Linked DNA regions of Sus scrofa. Each later gene encodes a partner of the first gene's protein in a complex. Links are inferred from orthologs where the notes say so. Each region holds a gene or a part of one and is shown on either strand. Other genes may lie near its edges. The genes, in order: ALK and ALKAL2.

Region 1 (3,802 bases):
CCCTCTGCGTTCAACTCTTCTCTGGTTGGCCACAGGTGGCAATGCGGCCTCAAACAATGACCCCGAGATGGACGGGGAGGATGGGGTTTCTTTCATCAACCCACTGGGCATCCTGTACACCCCGGCTCTAAAAGGTACCCCTCTGCGAGGTGGCAGAACCAGCTTCCATAGGCCAGTTCTCCCTCCCAGCTCCCAGGGCAGCTTGGGAGTTCCTATCATGGCTCAGCAGAGATGAATCCGACCAGTAACCATGAGGACACAGGTTCAATCCCTGGCCTTGCTCAGTGGGTTAAGGATCCGGCGTTGCCGTGAGCTGTGGTGTAGGAGGCAGATATGGTTGGGATCTGGCACTGCTGTGGCTGTGGCATAGGCCAGCGGCTATAACTCTGATTTGACCCCTAGCCTGGGAACTTCCATATGCCTCAGGTGCAGCCCTAAAAAGCAGAAAAATCAATAAATAAAAATAAAACCTCAGGGCAGCTGATGTGAGGCCAGGTTACAAAGGTGTGATTGTGGGTCCCTTGCAGGCAAATCTTCCTAGTGCTTGCTCACCAGGTTTTCTGAAAATCAGGATGCATGATCTGATATGAACACGGAGGCAGAAGACTGACTCCCAGGCAGGCCGGCCCTAGAAAATGCAACAGTAATAGGCCCTGTGCCTGTAGCAGCCAACTTAAGGGTCCCTACAAATACGCACCCACATGCCCTCTGTCTGAGTTCCATCACCGGATGCACCAGGGACTTTCCTGCACAGGCAGTGCCTCCAGGGGCAGTGGGACATAGGAACAGGGACCAGGCGGAGACAAAGCACAGAGCCTGGGATAGGCTGCAGGGCAGCCTTCCCAGCCTCTGCCCAGGCTGACCCTCTCTCCTTGTCACCAGTGATGGAGGGCCATGGGGAAGTGAATATTAAGCATTACCTAAACTGCAGCCACTGTGAGGTCGATGAGTGCCACATGGACCCCGAGAGCCACAAGGTCATCTGCTTCTGTGACCATGGGACAGTGCTGGCTGAGGACGGTGTCTCCTGCATCGGTAAGGGGGTGAGGGAGGGGCCCCAGAGCTTAAGCCACAACTGGTTTCTGTGGTTCTGGGACATCTCGGATACAGTTTTATAAACTGCCTGACACCCCTGACTGCCCCAGCACGGGTGTTCTGAAGATGGACGGGGGACCCTCAGTAAAGGGTGGGCCATGACTCATGAAGGCATCGGAAGTCACCTGGTCCCACTCCCAGCCCAGGATGTGACTCCCACGTCCCCACCAAGGTGCCAGCCCTTCTTCCCTGGAACACCCCAGCGCCAGGGACCTCCACACTCGCAGGGCGCCCCGTCCTGTTGAGAAGCTGCAGCACCAGACCTGTCCCCTCCGACTTCTGCTCCTTGGCTCCCCCACTTGCAGCAGCCCTTCGGGTGCAGTGTCTGAAGACAGAGCCCCCTCCTCCTCCTCCTCAGGTCTTCCTCAGATTAAATAACCCGTTTTTTCAATCCATCCACATGGGACACAGGTCTCATGTCTCTCCCGACCCTGCCGTCCAGTTGTCAATGTCTCTTTGGAAATGCCGCCGGGTCGGGGACCGGGCGCGGTGCCTCCGTGTGGTAGGTGCCAGCGTGCTCCCAGGCCTCCCTCCCGCGCTGAGCCCCGCGCTCTGGAGGACAGGGACTCGATCCAGCCTCAGGAGTGACAGAGAGGCCCTCTCTCTCTCTCACTGGCTCATGTTGAGTCTCCTAAGGCACTACCTCTCTTCTGGAGCCTCTGCTGGCTCCCCTCGCATCCTCGTCCTGCCACGTGCACTTGATATTGATCAGCGTCCAGATTGTGGTTTTCGTTCCTGTTACAGACGCCCTCCCCGGAAAGTTACTGTCGAAAGTTGTAAAACCAGGACGAACCCACTTCGGGCCCTGGGCCTCTGAGAAGGGGGATGGTCAAGGTGTCCAGGCCGGGGAGGAGTGGGTGGCTTCTGTCCAGGCTGGGGAGGCGCTTTCTGACGTGGGACCAGCTCAGAGGAGAAGTAGGCTGGTCACCGGTGCCCCACGGGGACCTGTCTTCCAGTGTCGCCCACCCCGGAGCCCCAGCTGCCGCTCTCGCTGATTCTCTCCGTTGTGACCTCCGCCCTCGTGGCCGCCCTGGTCCTGGCCTTCTCCGGCGTCATGATCGGTGAGTGTACCGGAGCCCCGGCACTTCCAGGGTCTGCAGGAAGGCAGATCTGGCAGAATGGAACAGCACCTCTGGCTCGGCCAGGTGTCCCTCTGGGTGGGGGTTGAGGAGGGCCGCCCAGGCCAAACCAAAACAGAAGCCCCCCGCGCCACACCCCCCAGCACAGCTCTGGTTCCTCGCAGTCCCTGATTCTGCACCTCAGCCCCGGGCCTCCAGACCTCCAGTGTCTGGTCCGCTGCTGCTTACAAAGATACCACTTCTCACTGGAAACATCCATTTTCTTCAAATTTCTAACACACTTTGGTCATCTTCAACGGAGATTAAAGAATCAAATTCTTGGCGTTCCCATCATGCCTCAGCAGTAACAAACCCGACTAGCATCCATGAGGACACAGGTTCCATCCCTGACCTCGCTCAGTGGGTTAAGGATCCGGTGTCGCCGTGAGCTGTGGTGTTGTCACAGACACATCTCGGATCCCACATGGCTAAGGTGTAGGCCAGCAGCTGCAATTCCTATTCGATTCCTAGCCTGGGACCTTCCATATGCCAAGGGTGGGGCTCTAAAAAGACCAAAAAGAAAAAAGGTCAAATTCTTCATGCCAAGAAGGAGGGCACTCTTCGGAGGAGAGCATCATGACCAAAGCTCGCCCCCTCCCCAGGCCTCACTGTGGCTCTTCAGGTTTGGCTCGCTCCCTGCGTCCTGCGTCCCGCCCACCCTCCCCCACCCCCGAACCCCGAAGAGAATGCAGAACTGGTTTTTGAGTGTTTTCTCTGAGGTCTGTGAGCCAAGCAGTGCTGATTTGCGGGTCTCAGAGGGCTCAGGATGGTCCAGCCAGGCTCTTACTGCTAGAGATGCTGGGGCAGGTGGGCAGGGAGCCGAAGGGAGGCAGAAGAAAAGGCTCAGTTCCAGGCAGCACTTTCAGGCCAGCCCCTTGGGGGAGGGACTCTGGGGGTGGCCAGGGAGCCTGTGTGAGTCCCATGACGCCCCCCTTCCAAACGCAGGATGACCAGAGCTAACGTGTTATGCACTCACTACACAGTTTAGTTCCCTGAATCCTCAGAGGCCCCTGTGATCACGGTTGGCACTTTTCATAGAGGAGGACCTGAGGGCACAGGAGTTGCCTCCCTTGCCCTGGCCTGGAAGTGGTGGGCTGAGCTTTAAACACAGAATCTGCCCCCTCCCCATGAATCATCTTCCTTGGAGTTGGCCTGATGGAATGTTCTCGCACATGGAGATAGCAGTGATTGTGGTCACTTGCATTGGGACAGCTCTTTAGAACTCCCCCAAACCATTTTATGTTGATGAATTCATTTCATTATTACAATCCTGGCTGATGGGGCGTGGGGGGGTTACCTCCCTCCTTACGGAGAAGGGGACAGATCCAAAGAGGTCGCAGGTCACTCATCAGTGTCACAGCTTATAAGTAACAAAGGCAGGATTAGAACACAAGTCCTCGGGCACCAGTTTAGAGATCTTTCATCCGTGGCTGTTCTCCAACTATATGGTTTGGTGATTCTTCAACTGTAGGAAACCCAGGTGACCCAGAGCCCACATGGCCCACTGCCATGTCTGTCCCCACCCAGCACCTGGGCAGAGCAGAGATACTAAGGCAGGCTGGTTCCTGGAGACACGGGACCTCTCTGAT
Region 2 (4,292 bases), about 23 Mb from region 1:
GAAGTCGCTCTCTTCTGCAGCGGTCCGGTCAGCCCAGGCCCCAACTGCAAGGTCAGCAGGGAGGAAGCCTTAGCAAGGCAAGTCTGGGTGCAGAAGGGGGGCAAGGTGCGGGGAGGGGGGCCCCTGTATGCTGTGCTGGCATGTTTGACGCGGGTGCATGCAGTCACTTACATGCAGGGATGGTGCAGTCTCGGGTGTTGTAGTAAAGTCTGTGGAAGTGTTTGCTGCACTTTGGGCTGAAATAAAGGGGACCTGGAAGGGGAAGAAGAAACAGCTGGTGAGGGCCCGCTGGATGCAAGGACCCGGGAAAAGGCGAAGGAATGAGGAGAAAATTCACCTGTAAGATGTTTCAGAAACTTGTCTTTCATCCTTAGATCTCGAGGAACAATTTCTGTTTGAGAGGAAATAAATTAATTATTGTATTGCCTGAAAGAAGCATTTTTTTTTTTCATGTGACCCAAAGCGAATGTTCAAAGGTACTGGAAACTGCTCTAAACACAGTAGTCCCTTGATTGCTATGTGTGACAACGTGAATTCTGGTGATCCAGGCACATTTTCTTCAAATAGCATTAACTACTCTCCAAGCTTCAGCATTATCTCCCGGGTCTCTGCCACTAGAATGGAGGCAGTGACCGTAAAGTTATAGGAAAAGAAAGGTAGCCGTGTGTGTGTGTGTGTGTGTGAGAGACAGTTACCTTCCAGTGAATGAATCACTTAGACACTTCATCTTGAAGAGCTTGGGAATCAAAACCCACAACCTCTCCATAGTTCTAGGAAGAAAACCTGATCGGATCCTTTAAACAAAAACTTTGCCATGAAACATCACTTCTTCCAGGTATATATTTAGAAAAAGGGTTAGATGCCATTTTTCAAGCCACCTGTTATGAAGGCTGGTGTGAATGCGTGGAGACAGACGGTGCCCTGGAGGATCAGGGGAGAGCACTTTCCTAGGGAAAGACCCCTGAAGGAGCACAGCTCCTCGTTTGTGTTGGCAACTACCTCGACTGACCTTTCTGATGTCAGCCGTGTTTTGGCTTTTGAAGTCATCTGGTTTTGTTTGCACTCACCTGTTCTGCGCTAGTGATGGGATGGCATATGCTCACATTTGCTACCAATTCCCATCTGAGGAGGGCACAGTTCCATCAAATCTTACTTGCACAGTTTGGACAACTCCTAAATGTCACTCTTCATTTGCAACTAACTTTAGTCGGTCTATATAAAATTGACCTTATCATATTTGACCTAATTGTGTCATCAAAGCATTAAGAGCTTGTACGCTTTCCTTGGAAATTTCCCAAGGGGCAGCCACTCTGGAAGGCTCCGCGATGGGGGCAGGGGTGGGATCTAAAACATTTCTGTCTCTCCGTTGAAACTGCTTTGCTGAAAATATCTCCGTTTGCAAAATAAGAGATGGCACTACTATGCTGAAATTATGGACCTAGGTAGCGACCCGCAGGTCTTAGACGTGGATGAGGGATAGTTACCTGTTATCTGCCGCCAGGCATCATTCATGGCCTTCCTATTTCCTTCTTTTAAAAAATATTTTCCAGTTTTTATAAACAGTCGAAACGTTTTTACAGCTCAAAAATACGTGTGTTCTCTCAAAGCCAACTCGATTCTCAAGCAAGCCCTGGGGACTCCTGAGACAGGACAGGCCGACGTGCTGGAGGCTCCGCCAGCACAGCCCACACCCCAGAAGCCTGTGGAAGGGGTCCTCCGTCCACGCGGCCGCTCGGGCGGCACACTCACCCACTCTCTGCTCCTCGGCGTAAGCGCCGTAGTCCGCGACCTCCCTGCGGCCCAGGCTGTCGTCCTGCCGGCCGGAGAGCTGCAGCCTCTTGGCCTCCCCCGAGTGGTACTTCCTGAGCTCCTGGACGATCTCCACGATGAGCCGCAGCAGGCTCTGCGGGTCCGCGGCCTCCCGGGGCTCCGCGACCCCCTGGCCGGGCCCCGCCGCCCCCAGCACGAGCAGCAGCCCCACGAGGAGGGGGCGCCCGGGTCCGCGCATCCTGCGCTCGGCGGGGCTGGGCGGATCCGACGCGCTCCGGAGCTCGGCTCCCTGGAGGGACAGGGGTGCGGGGAGACCCGGAAAGCCAGTCGGCGGCTGGCGGGGACGCCGGGGAGAGGCCACTCCCCTTGGACCGCGCGCCCCAGCCCCGCTGTCCCCGCGGCCCGCAGCGAATCCTGAGCCCTCCGCGGACCCCCAAGGACCGCGGCAGATCCCAAGGGCCCCCCGCGGACCTCCGCGAACCCCGAGGACCTCGGCGGACCCGGCGGAGGGGCGCCCTGCACGGTCCCCGGCCCGGGGGGAGGGGGCGGGAGCAGACGAGGGGCCGCTGAGCGCCCGGGCCGCGGTCTGCACGGGGACCCGCCGAGGCCCCACCGGTGATGCTGCGAGCGAGCCCCGGGTGCCGCCGCCCTCCGCGCGCCGGGCGGCACGGGCCTCGCCCTCGTCCCGCCCGCGTCCCGCCCCCGCCGCCGGGCCGCGGAACTTTCATGGCAATGGCGCAGCGGCCGCCGCTCGGCCGCGTGCGGCGCCCGCACAACTTTCCGTCACCTTGAGAAACCCGGGGGCGGCGGCCGTCCGGAGGGTCCGGCCCACAACCGCCTCCCTCGGAGAGACGGGCCGCGCGCCCCGCCCGGCAGCTGCGCCCAAGTTTCCAGCGGCGCCTTTGTGTGGCGGTCGCCCCCTCCTCCTGGTGTCCCCGAAGCCCGCCGACCAGCCCCCGCGCGGGGACCCTCGCTCCGGGGGGCCAGGGCGGGGAACACCCTCGGCCCTTGGGGAGGGGGCCGAGCCCGCCGCTGCAGGGCGCCAAGCCTGGGGCCACCTGTGCGCAGGAGCCGGGCCGGGTTACCTGTCCTCTCGCCCCGGAGCCGCGGGCGTCTCTTGTCGTCTGTCCCCGCGCCCCGGAGCCGCGCGCCCCGCTCGCTACTCCATGCCCGGGGCGCCGGCGCCGGCGGAGCGCCCTGGACGCGCGGGGACTGGCACCGGGACGCGGGGCCTCGACCGCGCCGAGCTGGGGACCCGCCGCCGCCTGAGTCGCGCCTCGGACCTCGGGGCGCCTCTTATCCCCGCGGCCGCCGACGTCAGGCGGGTCCCCGAGGGCCTGGCGCGGGGCTTTAATTAGAAGCCGCTGAAGTGTTCGTATCCCCGCGCGGATCTTCGTCAGACCCCCCCTTGGCCCCCCCAACTCCTCCCATGTCTCCCTACCCCGTCCCTCTCCCCTCTCCCACCCCCTCCATCTACCCCCCGCGTCCCCCCCATTTCCCCCCCTTCCCCGGCCCCCTCCCCGCGCCGTCTCCCCTCCCCCACCCCGTCGTTCCCCCTCCCCTCCCCCTTCCCCCTTGCCCCCTCCCCCTTCACCCCATCTCCCTCTCCCCCCTTTCTCCCTCCCCTTCGCCCCCCCCGCCCCGTTCTCTCCCTCAGTCTATTTCCCTCCGTTCCTGTCACTTGTGACAGGATGAGAAGAAACGCCTTTACCAGGAACTCGGATCTGTTTTTGTCTAAATGTAGATCTTGGGCTATTAAAAAAGGAGCTGCCTGATTGCCTCGACATTTAATAAGTCAATGGGAGTCTCTGCGTTCTGGAGGAGTCTGCAGGCGAGCCCGGGGGCCACGCTCAGGACCGCGGTCTGCTTCGCCCCAGGCCGGTCCCCCCAGGCGGCAGCCCAGAGGGCAGGGGCCGGCCAGCCCCCCGAGGGGACCCGCCGCGGCTCCCCGCCCGCGCCGTGCCCCCTCCCCCGCCCGGCATAAGGCCCTCGGTCGGCACCCTCAGCCCTCAGGTGCTCCGGCTGCCCTTCCCGGGAAAGGCCGGCGGGAGCCCTCCCCGGGCACCGCCCTCCCGGCCCCCGTCTTTCAGAAAGTTTTGGTTCTTCGGGTGTAGGCAGCACATTTGTGAGAGTTCGCCAATTCATCTCCTTTAATTTTTTTTCTTGTAAAATGTATTATCAATCAATGGCGCTCTTTCCCATTTTATTGGCGCTTTCTGGGCAAGAGCTGGACGGCCTCCAAGTTGGCGCTGTGATTGGGAAAGGTGTTCTGAGAACAATGCCCGAAAGGGAGCTCGGGGGCCGGAATTAAAAGCCTCGGCCATTAGCAGGGCGGCCGCATAGTGGATGGTGAGGTCGCTGCGGGCTGGGCTGGGCGGGTGGCCCTGAGGCCCCCAGGCAGGCCCCCGCCGCGCAGCCCAGGCTCCCTGCCTCTGCCGCTCCCTCCTTTCCTTGGGTCGTTTCCTGCGGAAGACGACGTGTTTGGCAGAGGGCGGTGGGCTAAACCGGACCGGTAATCGTCC

Evidence for each region.
Region 2: the proteins of ALK (region 1) and ALKAL2 are in contact, whole or in part, in a cryo-EM structure (PDB 9G5I), measured with the Homo sapiens proteins. The link is inferred for Sus scrofa from reciprocal best matches to the Homo sapiens genes ALK and ALKAL2. Residues at the interface, in NP_004295.2 of Homo sapiens: Leu684, Tyr739, His755, Ser758, Leu760, Phe856, His857, Glu859, Leu965, Tyr966, Thr967, Pro968, Leu970, Lys971, Val972, Met973, Glu974, Glu978, Asn980, Val992, Glu994, Cys995, His996, Met997, Phe1007, Asp1009; in NP_001002919.2 of Homo sapiens: Ser112, Lys113, His114, His116, Arg117, Leu118, His120, Asn121, Thr122, Arg123, Asp124, Arg133, Arg136, Leu137, Arg140, Leu141.

What each region holds. Positions count from the first base shown.
Region 1 is NC_010445.4:110,068,408-110,072,209, forward strand, and holds part of ALK (ALK tyrosine kinase receptor), read left to right. Parts: intron 1-35; coding exon 36-134; intron 135-882; coding exon 883-1,035; intron 1,036-2,051; coding exon 2,052-2,156; intron 2,157-3,802. UniProt on the Homo sapiens protein: Neuronal receptor tyrosine kinase that is essentially and transiently expressed in specific regions of the central and peripheral nervous systems and plays an important role in the genesis and differentiation of the nervous system.
Region 2 is NC_010445.4:132,659,798-132,664,089, reverse strand, and holds the start of ALKAL2 (protein FAM150B), read right to left. Parts: upstream 2,938-4,292; 5' UTR 2,856-2,937; intron 2,459-2,855; exon of another isoform or gene 2,060-2,458; 5' UTR 2,009-2,059; coding exon 1,750-2,008; intron 392-1,749; coding exon 338-391; intron 253-337; coding exon 172-252; intron 1-171. UniProt on the Homo sapiens protein: Cytokine that acts as a physiological ligand for receptor tyrosine kinases LTK and ALK, leading to their activation. Cytokine-binding is sufficient to activate LTK. In contrast, ALKAL2-driven activation of ALK is coupled with heparin-binding to ALK.